Oryza sativa Japonica Group: one gene and its partners. The main gene of each other region encodes a partner of the protein of the gene in region 3 in a complex. Links are inferred from orthologs where the notes say so. Each region holds a gene or a part of one and is shown on either strand. Other genes may lie near its edges.

Evidence for each region.
Region 1: sister chromatid cohesion 1 protein 2 (region 3) and sister chromatid cohesion 1 protein 3 share a complex: the UniProt entries of both Arabidopsis thaliana proteins name them as parts of the cohesin complex. The link is inferred for Oryza sativa Japonica Group from reciprocal best matches to the Arabidopsis thaliana genes SYN2 and SYN3.
Region 2: sister chromatid cohesion 1 protein 2 (region 3) and sister chromatid cohesion 1 protein 1 share a complex: the UniProt entries of both Arabidopsis thaliana proteins name them as parts of the cohesin complex. The link is inferred for Oryza sativa Japonica Group from reciprocal best matches to the Arabidopsis thaliana genes SYN2 and SYN1.

Annotation. Positions count from the first base shown.
Region 1 is NC_089042.1:10,215,865-10,220,228, reverse strand, and holds the start of sister chromatid cohesion 1 protein 3, read right to left. Parts: upstream 2,832-4,364; 5' UTR 2,662-2,831; coding exon 2,538-2,661; intron 1,186-2,537; coding exon 924-1,185; intron 847-923; coding exon 800-846; intron 719-799; coding exon 687-718; intron 607-686; coding exon 539-606; intron 472-538; coding exon 80-471; intron 1-79. UniProt on the Arabidopsis thaliana protein: May be involved in sister chromatid cohesion during mitosis.
Region 2 is NC_089039.1:29,073,725-29,077,953, forward strand, and holds the start of sister chromatid cohesion 1 protein 1, read left to right. Parts: upstream 1-1,291; 5' UTR 1,292-1,426; coding exon 1,427-1,479; intron 1,480-1,669; coding exon 1,670-1,738; intron 1,739-1,836; coding exon 1,837-1,895; intron 1,896-1,990; coding exon 1,991-2,035; intron 2,036-2,121; coding exon 2,122-2,141; intron 2,142-2,249; coding exon 2,250-2,326; intron 2,327-3,523; coding exon 3,524-3,620; intron 3,621-3,777; coding exon 3,778-3,859; intron 3,860-3,938; coding exon 3,939-4,017; intron 4,018-4,126; coding exon 4,127-4,229. UniProt on the Arabidopsis thaliana protein: Involved in chromosome condensation, pairing and segregation during meiosis. Responsible for cohesion between replicated sister chromatids.
Region 3 is NC_089038.1:24,879,433-24,883,670, reverse strand, and holds the end of sister chromatid cohesion 1 protein 2, read right to left. Parts: intron 4,141-4,238; coding exon 4,076-4,140; intron 3,998-4,075; coding exon 3,875-3,997; intron 3,787-3,874; coding exon 3,649-3,786; intron 3,526-3,648; coding exon 3,284-3,525; intron 3,196-3,283; coding exon 3,009-3,195; intron 2,438-3,008; coding exon 2,301-2,437; intron 2,220-2,300; coding exon 1,807-2,219; intron 1,670-1,806; coding exon 1,633-1,669; intron 1,541-1,632; coding exon 1,516-1,540; intron 1,429-1,515; coding exon 1,296-1,428; intron 943-1,295; coding exon 829-942; 3' UTR 545-828; downstream 1-544. UniProt on the Arabidopsis thaliana protein: May be involved in sister chromatid cohesion during mitosis.

The DNA of each region.
Region 1 (4,364 bases), on a different chromosome or scaffold from region 3:
TCTATTAGGTCTTATGAAAAAATGAAGGCAGAAAACAAAACTGGAAAGAACAAGATGAGTCAACAAGCAAAATACTAACCAATATCCATTGGTATAACATCTTCTATATTGTCATATGTGGTGCTTGTACTTCCTCGTGCATTGGGAATGGATGTCCCAGATAATCCACCTTGACCAGGGGATATAGTTCGTTCCAGTGCCGGAGGGGTGATATTCTTGGACACAAATGGTGAAGATTCCTCAGTCACATCCATGGGATCATTGTTTACCTCATCAATATCTGGCAAGTTAAGTTCAGGGCCCTCAAATGGTGCTTCACGCATTATTTCAGGTAAATCTGGTGCTTTATCTGCCTGATTTATGTTACTGGTGTTCACTGCCTCCGAGTTGTTGCCTTGGGAAGGATCTACGGAAATTTCCTCATCCATATTGTCACTTGGCCCAAAATCGATGTGAAATGGAGGCAATCTCCTGATAAGCAAAGCGGACATGAGTCCACCAAAATAGAAATTAGAAGGAAAAAAAACATGACACGTACTCTTCGTCAGTTGGTTCAGGTCCCATGTGTGAAGATTGTCCAGGAGCTGATAGCTCTACTCTAGCATCCTACACAATTTATAAGCACAAATATTAAAAAACATGCAAACTAAACAAGCCTGCAAAAAGCGCAAGTCAGTGAGGAATACCTCATCAAGATCAATCATCAGATAGTCTCCTTCTGCAGCACCAAAATGAAATCATTAAGCATCCGCATTGGAATGATAATAATACATATATTGACTAATTGAACTTCGTATACCAGCCAGGGTGATCTGGTCCAGACTCTTCCGATGATTATCTGGCGTACTGTCAGAAAGTTAACACAATAATATTAGTTGAGGTTGTATGACGCGGAGAAAATATATGAGAAGAAAAGTACTCACTCTATCAGACGAATTGCATCATCTAGGTTTATGTCATCAAGACGGAATGTATCAGGCAATGTGATGGTGTCAAAAGGCGCATGATCCGCATGAAGGGGCAGATCTACTTGTACAGAAGCGAAGGCGGTTCTGATTGTGCTTAGCATCCGGTTACAGTCATGGAAGAGGTAGTTTACCTTCCATGAATAAATGCGAACTAGACCTAGAAGAAGATGCCCTGACAACCTCAGAGCAATTGGAACTTCAGGGAACATGATAAATTCTGAAAAAATAAAACTCATGCATTAGAAGACATGGCATTAGGTTGCAGAGTAAAGCATAGGGAAAATTCAATGTATATGAGAAAATTGTTCAATACTTAACTAAGGAAAATATGTAACCTATTTTTCTCAAAAATGCGGGAGGACTGAACTTCATTTCTTTAAGAAGAAAATAGATAGAAAAAGAGGAGGTTAAACTGACAAACACACCCAAGAACACGCTCACGTGCACAACACCTAAGGGCGACACATGACCTCACTAAGCAAACACAAACTAATTGCCAAGGGTAAGCGACCTGCAGAAAAATGTGACCTATTCAGCATGCCATTATAATACAAGTTCTTGCAAAGCACAGTTCGAAGTTGAAATAAAAAAAATTGTCACACTTTCCTCCCAAAGAGAATAAAAAAAACTTCCCATAGAGTATAGACATCTATGCCCAAATATGCAATATTAATCCAGTTGTTTTACTTCCAGTCAAAAAACATGTTTTGTTCTAATAAAATTCCATCAGTAAGCTTCCTAAACATAAGGCTTATCTACTTTGTTCTTGAGTTTGCAAGGTTAAATATGTAAAGTTAATCACAGAATAAAGTAAAAACTGTTACATAATGTACTAAAAGAACAATGCAAGCACAACAAGCCAGTTTATTTGTCAATGTTCTATGATTTGACTGGATAACATATAAACTTATTTGTGTAATTCATATAAGTAGAACAAACATATATGAATTACTCTTCAAATAGAGTGGCTCAAGTAGGCAGTGTTCCACCGCAAGTGATTATACTGTACTGGGAGGTAAAAAATTGGGTTTGGTCGTTCTTTTTTTTTTCTTCCTTCTGGATATGCAAATGCTGTCATTCTTGAAATGTTTAGCATCCAAATAGGGCCTGCAAAAATCCACCCAAAAGTCTCCGGTGCACACCCCACCACAACCTCCCATAACTAAAAGACCAAATTTTGTTGTATCTTTTGTCATTAATGAATAATCATGCCACTAGAACAATCATTTACACGAAATTCTAACTGATAACCAGATAAATACTGCGAACCCCTAGCAAAATGCTCTAAAAAAAACTATCCAAACCTTCTTCCTTCCTGTCCCAAATTGCAGAATGCAGATTGGGATCCAAATCTCTGTACCATCACTTGACCCCATTGCTAACCCCAAAACATTTTTCACTCACAACTCCGGAACAAATCCCAGTTGCACGGAGGAACCAAAAAAAAAAAAAAGCTTATCCTTTCTACCCCCGCCGCCGCTGAAAGGCGCCGCCTTTCTACCCGCGCAGCAACAACAAAGGGGAAAAGAAAGAGCGCGTCTTTGGGAGAGAGGGGAGGGGAGGGCTTACCGGCGTAGGAGGGGATGTCGATGCCGTCGATCTGCGGCTTCTTGATCTTGCGCTCGAGGTGGGCGGCGATCCACACCGTGCCCAGTGGGCTCTTCCGCGCAAGGATCGTGTGCGAGTAGAACATCGCGGCGGCGTCGGCTGCCTCCTCCCTCCTCCGTCTCCTCGGGGTTGCTCCTGCGGCGGCGGCGGTGGCGGTGGTGGTGGCGGCGCACGGAGAGGGAGGGGAGGGGGATGAGATGAGATGAGATTTGGGGGGGGAAAAATAGAAGTTTTGGATGAGAAGGAGTTTTTGGGAAGGGGAGTGAAGCGGGAAGCCGCTTCGTATGTGGAGTCTTTTGGCGCGCGGATTTCGGGAGCAGCGGGCGGGGTGGTAGGGTGGCTGACAGGTGGGCCCTAGCAGGTGGTTGGTTTTGGAATGTGGGGGAGTTATTTTCGTGGATGTTTTGCTTGTAGAATACTAGAATTTGAGGCTTTTACATGCCGAACGAATTTGCTGCGGTTGTTTCCCCCCATTTTACCGCTGTGGCGTGCATCAAATTACCCTTTCTAGCTATCCCCGCAAAAGAGAAAAGGAAAAGTCTATACATACTACTCCCTCCATTTCACAATGTAAGACTTTCTAGCATTGCTCACATACATATAAATGTTAATGAATCTAAACACATATGTCTAGATCCATTAACATCTAAATGAATGTGGGTAATGCTAGAAAGCCTTACATTGTGAAACGGATGAAGTAAATTTTATCTTACTAACAGTCTAACACTATGTCTCATGCTGTGAGTATATCTAGAATTTCTATAACTTCCATCTATTTAAATTAGATGGTTGATATTATTGTTTGAGCAGCATTGCTGTAGAGAAAATTACTCTTTCTATTTTCTAATAAACTAGTACTATGATGATTTCGTTCGCCGGATCACACATAGTTCGATGTTTGATGACCGTTCATTTTGTTTTTGGACATTATAATTTATTATCCACACGGGATTTTAGTTTTTACCATTTTTCCCTAAAAAAATTAGTTAATCTCACCTCTAACGCCTAATGTCTTGTGCCTTTATATCTTTGTAGATCTAATAGCGTAGAAAAATCTTACCTGAACAGCAATAGAAGAGGAAAAATAAAAGCATGAGTCTTCATTCACAGTGAAACAAGATGCAATTTGTACCCTTCCGTCCAAAAGTCTTAAACATATTTTTCCTAACGAGATGTGCATATCTATAGCCTCCATGTAACCTAGATTTAAATGAAGATGTTGTCTTATTATTTTGTTCCAAAAGTTTTAAGCATATTTTTTTCTAATGAGATGTGCATATTTATAGCCTTCATGTATCCTAGACTTAAATAAAGATGTTGTCTTATTATTTTGTAGTGCTGAATTATTGGAACTCAAGCAATTATCTTAATACTCATTGGTTATATGCATACATAGGAGTAATCCTTAGTGTTTGTTATATGCAAGATGAGTTAATTTTTCATTAATCCCATTTAAAAAGTAATATGCCCTTAGGCTTTTGGATTGAGAGAGTACAAGTGAGATTGATTAGTTGCTCATAGGTTAGATTGATTTTTTTAAGGAAAAAAAAGGAGAAATTCGGTGTACATCCCATAGAGCTTCACCAACTTATGCCCAATATAGCTTCTAATGCCTAAATTTTATGTTTTTCATAAGAAAAAAAATTGACTTCTACAGTTCCCTAATTAACTTCCCATGAAATATCTTTTCAGTCCTAGTCGCTCTCCACTAGTAGGGGAGGGTGTCGGCTTCCAATAGCACGTGCAAAATGTGGAGAGAACAATACACGTGGGAAGAAGCACACATAG
Region 2 (4,229 bases), on a different chromosome or scaffold from region 3:
GAGTTCATACACTGTTGCATTGCGACTTGCGAAAAACATAGTGCTACACTGAGAATTAATGATGGCCATCCGCAGCTAAGTGATGATCTGTGAGCAATTAGCAATTACCGGTTACTGACGAGAGGTGAGTAGGTAAAGGCATTATTAGCAAGAACTGCATTGGAACAAAGTTCATTCCGGTTGTCAAAACTCAAAACCCCAGCGAGCTGAGGCGTGAGAGCAACATCGCCAGCTGTCGCCGTCGCGTCGCGGGGGGGGGGGGGGGGGAGGGGGGCTACGTGCTGGCGCGGGATTAGATCCATGAATCCATCCGTGCCGCCCACGCCGTCAAACAGCCACGCGCGCGTGGGGTCAGAAACGCGCGCGGCTGCACGGCTGCGCCGAGAGGTGGAGCTCGCCGCTGCCGGCGGCTGTGGCGTTGCCGGCCGCCACCGCCGGACCTCCCCGTGACCCCGTGAGCCATGGTGCCTAGAGGCTGGAGAGGAGAGGAGAGAGATGGAGAGAGGGGAGATGGAGAGGGAGGAAGAAGATGAGGAGGTGAGTATGACACGTGGGGTCCACGTGGGTTCCACTATTTTTTATAATTATTTTATGTGTGAAAATGACATATGGGTCCCACAGACTTTATTATTTTTCCGAATCGAATTGCCACGTAAGCGCCACGTCAGTGCCATGTCAGATGAAGACCGAGTTAAATTAGCCACGTAGGCGCCACGTCAGCCAAAACCGCTATCAAAACCGCCGAGCGACCTCGTTTGCCCGGTTTTCGTAAGTTGAGGGACAGGTCATATCCGGTTTTGCGGTCAAGGGACAAAAATCGGATTAGGCGACAAATAGAGGGACCCAAAGTGAACTTATTCCTTGGGGAAAAAGAGAAGAGAAAGAAGTGAGCACTGATATGTGGGCTCACATATTTTTCTTCTCACTTACATGTGGACTCCTCATGTTTTTTTAATATTTCTTGCTGACTAGGATGTCACGTGAGCGAAACAAGTCTTTCATACTATCATGGTATTTGATTTGGACGGTTTTGACAGGATGAAGGGTAAAAGGATTTTGGTATTGTGTTTTAGGAATGCCAATTAAACTCGAGTGAAGACGGGGTACGGTTAATGGACTTATTCGGGGAGACAATAGTGAAAAATTATTTTGGCCCCGGAAGGCCTTGGCCCATGAGTGGCTCCGGCGCGGTGGATTACCGAGACTACCCTTTACGCGCAAAACATTTCACCGATCTGCCCCCCTGATGTCTTTCTTCCCCCACAAACCTCCCTCCCTTCTTCCTCTCTCCGAGGTCTGAACTCCCACCCCACGCAACCATCGCAAAAACCCCACTCCACCTCTCACCTGCTCTCTCCGCCGCCGCAGCGGCGCAGCGCCTCCACTCTCACTCGCTCATCCATTCCCTCCCTCCTCACGATCGAGAATGTTCTACTCGCACCAGCTCCTCGCGCGGAAGGCTCCGCTCGGCCAGATATGGTGGGTTTGCTTCGCTCTCCGCTCCTCTCGATCGCGTCCTTTCGGCTTCTCTTCTCATGCGCCGTTCTGCGGTGCTCCGTTCTATATTGTTTTCTGCGATTTCTCTGCTCGTTCCGCTCCGAAATCCGAATGTTCGCCACTTGGTTGGAGTTGATTAGGCCGCTGATTACTCCGCTTTTTTTTTTCGCAGGATGGCGGCGACGCTTCACTCGAAGATCAACCGGAAGCGGCTTGACAAGCTCGACATCATCAAAATCTGGTGAGCGAATTAGTCCGAATCCAGTTGTCTCTGATTTCTTCGTTTCGAACTTGACGGTTTTTTTTGGGGGGATTTTGTGCGTGTGGTTTTTGGGTTAGTGAGGAGATTTTGAACCCGTCGGTACCCATGGCACTAAGGCTCTCCGGAATTCTCATGGGTGAGTCCAGTTTGCTTGTTGTCTCCATAGTTCCGATCGCATTTGTTTGGTGATATTTTCTGATGTGGGTGCTTGCGTCGTGGGAGTGTGAGTAGGTGGTGTGGCGATCGTGTACGAGAGGAAGGTGAAGGCTCTGTATGGTGAGTTGCTCCCTGATTGCTTCTCTTTTGTTTCCATTTTTTTTGGATTCGTTATAGACTCAAACTGTGTGAGATCTTCTTCGCAGATGATGTGTCTCGGTTTCTGGTAAAATTCGAGTTCGATTTTCACCTAATTTTGGTGCCTCCTCCTTGATCCATTTGCCTGTCTATGCTAACATGGTTCAGATTACGCTTGTACTAACTCCTCACACAGATTGAGATCAACGAGGCATGGCGGGTCAAGCCAGTCGCAGACCCCACCGTACTTCCCAAGGGCAAAACCCAAGCCAAGTAAGTGCCCTCTTTGTTTCCATGACCTTCTAGGACTAGAAGTTTCTAGATGTTCTGTGCACGGTTTTGGGTTCGAGGGAAGATTGAAGAACATGCTATTATGTTGGTGACCGAGGGGAGTTTGCTTTTGTTTCCCTGCTGCCAGGGATTGTGAGTTTGTGTGTGATTTTCACCATCCGATGCTAATCTGATGGACTCGTCATTTGACACAGTTGCAAGTTTTGATATGTCATCAGCTTACTTGGTTCTGATTAGAACATGCTGCATCTGTGTAATGTTGATTTTATGATGATACTATCTCCTTGCAGCATAGTACATTGTTATGTTTTCAGATGTACCTGATGTTGTCATATGACTGATTGTTCTGTTCTACCTGTTGTCTATTGGCGGTTCATGGGACCCTGCTGTTACTTGCCTCTTGTTGTCTTGCTGACTTTGGTAGCAGCCGATGTCTGTATTATGCAGGAGTACTATTCTACAAATGATCTGTGTTTCCTGGCAGCATAAATTTGTCTGTATGTTGTTCCAGTATATGTAGGTCCTCTACATTTGTAGGGTGATGAAGGGCTTTTGCTTCCCCACAGTGTTTCCTCCTCTCTTAATGAAATGATATACAACTCTCTTGCATATTCAAGAAAAAAAAACTGGAAGGGCATTAGGCAGTTAGGCAGGCATTGTCAGTGAGCGATACATGCTTTATGGGGATGAACATTTGACTTTTTCTTGGGTGTCAGTTACTGGTGCCAAGGGAGCAGGTCTGAGGGCCGTCTGGTACTTGAGAAATGTTGCTATCTTAGAGTCTAGGGAATTCCATCACCTTTGGGAACCGGAGGCAAACATTTCTTAATCTTGTATCATGCTCGAAGGACTGACTCTTGTGGGTGTACCATTTCCTTCCATTGTGGCCTGCATCTGATATGTAACCATGTGGCTGTGCCATCATCCCCTTGATCCCTTCGGAACTATGTTCGATAGTTACTGCAATGTTCACGTGATGTTGATACCTGTACTGTTGCAATGAGTTTAACCCTCTTGGAGTCCTGGATAGTTCCTCTGAATGATTGTATCCCAAGGGTCTTTTCAACTTACTTTTGTAAATAGCATAGAGTGGGTATAAGTTGGTGGATGGAGAATGATATTTTGTACCAAGAGTAAAACAGTAATGGTTTGCTCATCTAAACTTGGGGCTTCATGCAGGTATGAAGCAGTAACACTGCCAGAGAATATCATGGATATGGATGTGGAGCAGCCCATGCTTTTCTCAGAGGCTGATACTACAAGGTTCCGGGGAATGGTAATCCCTGTAATATGTATATTTCGGTGGTGTCTGATTGTATGCATTGAAAGATGGCATTAAGTTATGAGCAATAACCACGAGATAGTCTTGCTTTCAGTCTCCTGACTTTTGCCAGATTGTCTCTATTCCTCTGAAATCCGTCATGCATGTGCAGCGTTTGGAGGATTTGGATGACCAATACATTAATGTCAACCTAGACGATGATGACTTCTCGCGCGCTGAGAATCATCACCAAGGTTTTCATTTCTTTTCTTATGAATTACTCTTTGTGGTTGCTTAAGAGGTGTACTTTCTGACTGAAATATGTTATCTCAGCTGATGCAGAAAATATCACCCTGGCTGATAATTTCGGGTCTGGGCTTGGAGAGACTGATGTGTTCAATCGTTTTGAGAGGTGAAGCAAAATTTTATTCTTCTCTTATTCTACCATTCATTTTTTGCACTTCTTGTTCCTTATTTTGGCCAGTACAATTATTCATTGAGCAATGTTACAATGTCACCAGATTCGACATAACAGATGATGATGCAACTTTCAATGTCACTCCTGATGGACACCCACAGGTTCCAAGTAATCTGGTTCCTTCTCCACCTAGGCAGGAAGACTCT
Region 3 (4,238 bases):
AAAGAACTGTGGAGCACCGAGCACGGCTCAGCTGCTCCGCTCTTGGATCACCTAGATTCATCTATACCTCAACTGTGAATTCAGCTAATCCTGAATTTGTTGATTCAGCTAAAACTGGACATTCAGCAGTATGTAGATTCAACCGCTCTTCGACAAATAGAATTGCATCTACTTAACAAATAAAAAGAAAGAAGAATTAAAAAAAATCAAGAAAAGCATAAGCTTCTCAAGTTCACAATGGAACAGCGAGAAGCTCGAAGAACGACGGCGACTGTGTGGGACTCATCAGCTCCTTCAAGAGGCTTTGCTACTGCTTTGACTACAGTATCTTTTTTTTAAGATAATGAAAGCTTTATTAAGACTTAGTTAAATACACCAAAATGATACATTCCAACTGAGCCCAACTACAGTACCTTCAAATCACCATGGCTCGCTGTTCCCATCATAGCTTCCAAACTGTTCCCAGCTGCATCATTTCCAGATTAGACAACATCCTGGCAAACTCACATATACAACTGAACCAAACACGCACGATCAAAAACTCTGAAAAGAACACGGGATCTAACACTGATAGGAAACTGCAATTTACAACTGTTAAAGTTATTATAAATAACTAAGCTATCCATCTAAAGGGGAAAAAAAAGGGGGAAACAACTAACATCTCTACATGTTCCTAACCATCTAGCGCTACATGCGCCCAACTAAGTATATACATCTGACTGACCATCATAAACATGCTACAGAAGATAAAACAAGGTGAAACGCTCCTGGGAAGCTGGGATCTCTTTTTCCCGAAAACTACCAATGAACATGTTGCGTCAAATTAAGTCATTGCTTCTCACTACTCCGCAATGCCGCCTCGAGCCGCGGAGTCGCTGAGACTATGATGTCCCCATAAGTCTGCTCTTGATTGACTTCTATGAGACTACCACTCTTCAGGATCTGCAGAAGAGAGCAAACGACGATATAAACAATACAAATTGCTGTAAGGATCATAGGGCCTCTGTTATACTTATAGGAGTTGAAAATATGAAACAAACAAACAACTTTTGAGTTTTGATAAACAGAACGGAAATGGAACCAAAGAAGTGCTTGCATATTTCCCAAGTAAAGCACATGAATTGCACTAAAAAATGCACATATTAATTTTATCACAAGGAAGATTGTTCTTGCGTAGAACTGAAATAGATCAGTAATACACAAGATGGGATCCTCAAGACCAGTCATTCTCCAGTGAAAAAGCAACTAAAACTCATGCAGATACTGTGTCCAAGAAATAAGTACAGAAAATGTACCAGAGTTTCATAGAAGAATCTTGCTGAAGTTTTTCTTTTCGTTCCTTCGAGTGCTTGACCAAGGCATACAGAATTGTTCCGTTGTTGGCACTTCTGGTCCACGAGTAGTTGATGGAAGTACCTTGCTACAGTCCTGAATTAGTGCATTTAGAGAATGTTATAGGTTAACGACAACATGAAGAAAAGAAATGAAAAGAAACAGGACAAGTTCATTAGCCACCTTGTTCTTGTTGAACGCAGCAAACCTGTGCAAAATAACAATGTCAGTAGAACTTGGCAAAAACAAAGATCTAATGTACAGGAAAAATAAAAACTAGTATAGGGTGTAAAAGAGTACCTTCATCTCTAGCATGTTGTTCATCCATATGAGTATCCTGCCAGATGCAATTTTCAAATGATTCATTTGCATAAAATATACATTAACAAATGAATTGTTTGCATGGCATTTTGCACACAAAACCAGATATTTTCAAAAGAATTTTATAAAAGAGTTTAATGTAGACAGTGTTACCTCTTCCATACTATCTATATCAGCATCCAATGCCTCGTCGAGCTGTGGATTTTTACTTTTCAATGCATTCAATCTTTCTTGCAGTTCTGTTGAATGAGATTCATGTCCTCCAATTGAGAAATCCTTTTCTTTGACTGTATCGTCATTAAATCTATAGTCTTCATCATTGTGATACTGTGCACTTTCAGTGTAACACCCAACAGTTGCCTGTACACTATCTGTCAATTCATCCAATTTTCTCTTTCTTGGTTCATCTGGAATGCTTTCACCTTCTACATTTTTAGCATCATCGCAGATATTGTTGGATTCAGAAAGCTCCAACGAAAGTCGCCTTCTTGATTTTACTGACTCCCTGCACGAATTTTCTGGTGTATCTGCTGTAATAGTGTGTCTAACGTACACCGAAGTTGGATCTGTGAAAATAAAATGGCCCCTCTTTAGTTAATTATGGAGGTTTCCATCACTAATTGCACCTAGTATAGATGAAGACTTACACAAAATCAATGGATCCATGAAAGTAACTGGCAGAGAACGAATTTTGCCCTCCTTCCAGGTATAAAGACAAGTATGAGGTGCCTTCCTTCTCTGCTGCACTAGATCACTTGCATCCTCTATTGTGTTTCTCAATGTTCTACATTAAGGAGGAAAAAAATCCAAAGCATTAGCAATTAAAAATAGAGAAGTACCACATATTGAAAAATTAATGTTCCAACTTATACTACATGATCATTGATCACATAAAAAATAGTATGGCACTGCAGCCTACCACCTAACCCAAGCCCCCAAACAAAAATAAAGTGCGGGAACAAGAGGCTAGCACCCCAGCCATGATCGCTGGTTCCCACTGCAAACAGGTAGAACCAATGAGAGCACATGTTTTAAGGATTTGAATCCCAGTGGACAACACAAACATCCTCAGGGCCAGCCAACCAAGCATCTTGGTTCTCAGCTTATAATTCTTTATGAGGCTATAGGCTTCATAACTTACAGTACCTTGCCTTGAGCCTTAAATATCTTAGCAAAAAAAAAAAAGGAAGAAGAAGAAGCTGAGAACTTAGATTCATCAAAGAATCCCAAATCCCTGCTTAAGCTGATAAGATGAGCCTAAGTTTGCCAAACCAGCTCCTAGGATACCTAAAAGATCAAACAGGAATAGGTAGTGCAACAGATGGAAGAGCTTCTAAGCTAGAAGCTCTACTTACTCATTTGGTAGAACAATATTTTCATCATACAATACCCATGTTCCTCTTCTTCTAACCTTCCGTTTGTCTCCTCTATCTGTTGGTATATAATCTTTATTGTATAATCCCCTTCTTCGTTTTCTAGTCACCCGGTGCTTCTCCTTTTTAGCTGGTGTAGTAACCATAAATTTAGGAGAGCAGGGTAGCCCTGAATAAATCAGTGAAACCCACACATCACAAATTAAGCATAATAATGACCACAAATAGAAGAGGAATTTTTATCACAAAAATTAAACCTGTGCCACCCTCTGTCATGGGCTCCGGAGTGGAAGGTGACAGCTCATTGATTAGCTTTGTCTTACAGCGCAAAGTTGGTTGTTCAAGAGACCCGGGTTCCTCAAAACCATCACATGATGGATTTGTGTTAGTTCCATGCAGTGACCCATTTTCTGATTCTTCAATTGTGGGACAATTTGCATCACGACTTGGAAAAGTCACATTCTCCACAATATTTTCAGGTATTTGCACTTCCTTACTTCTGTACCAATAAATATGGTCAGCATCAATGCACTATTTTTTCACAAAAATGTTTAAGTAAAAAAAAATTGATGTGACATTAAAATCATAATATGGTAAAACCACAAAAGTAACATTTACTTACCCTGACAAAGGGATGTGGCAAGCAGAATTCCCATTCTCATCCCTATTCAATTCTCTTTGAGGTTTTTTCCCCCTTGTGCTTTTATCTGAAGGATCATTTACTTCAGCCATCATATCCACCATCTCAGGTGGAAGAATACTGTTCCAGAAAAAAAAAAAAGGTCATCGGCAACAGAGGAAAAGTATGCGCACTGTAAAGAGAGAAATGTGACACCATATATACTTACTCCTTCACTGGTGTAAAGCAAGCAGATTCAGCATTGTGATTTTCAGGTTCACCCCCAATGCTACTCAAGCATAGTAGACTGTTGACTTCACTAATGACACTCATCATTTCAGTTGGGATAGTGCTGCATTGAAGCTTCATTCAGAAATTCGGTACAGATAATCTTTTTTAGCATCATTGAGACAGTAATCTCTATACTTACACGCGTACTGGCATAATGCAGGCAGAGTCTAGATCAGCGTATGAGCATGTCATCATCTTATAAGACTGTTCATTGGACCAAAATAAGGCTTTAGTTTCCCAAACAGATAATATACGAAACAAAAGGAAGACATGGTTATTGGATAATAATTAATAAAGGAGTA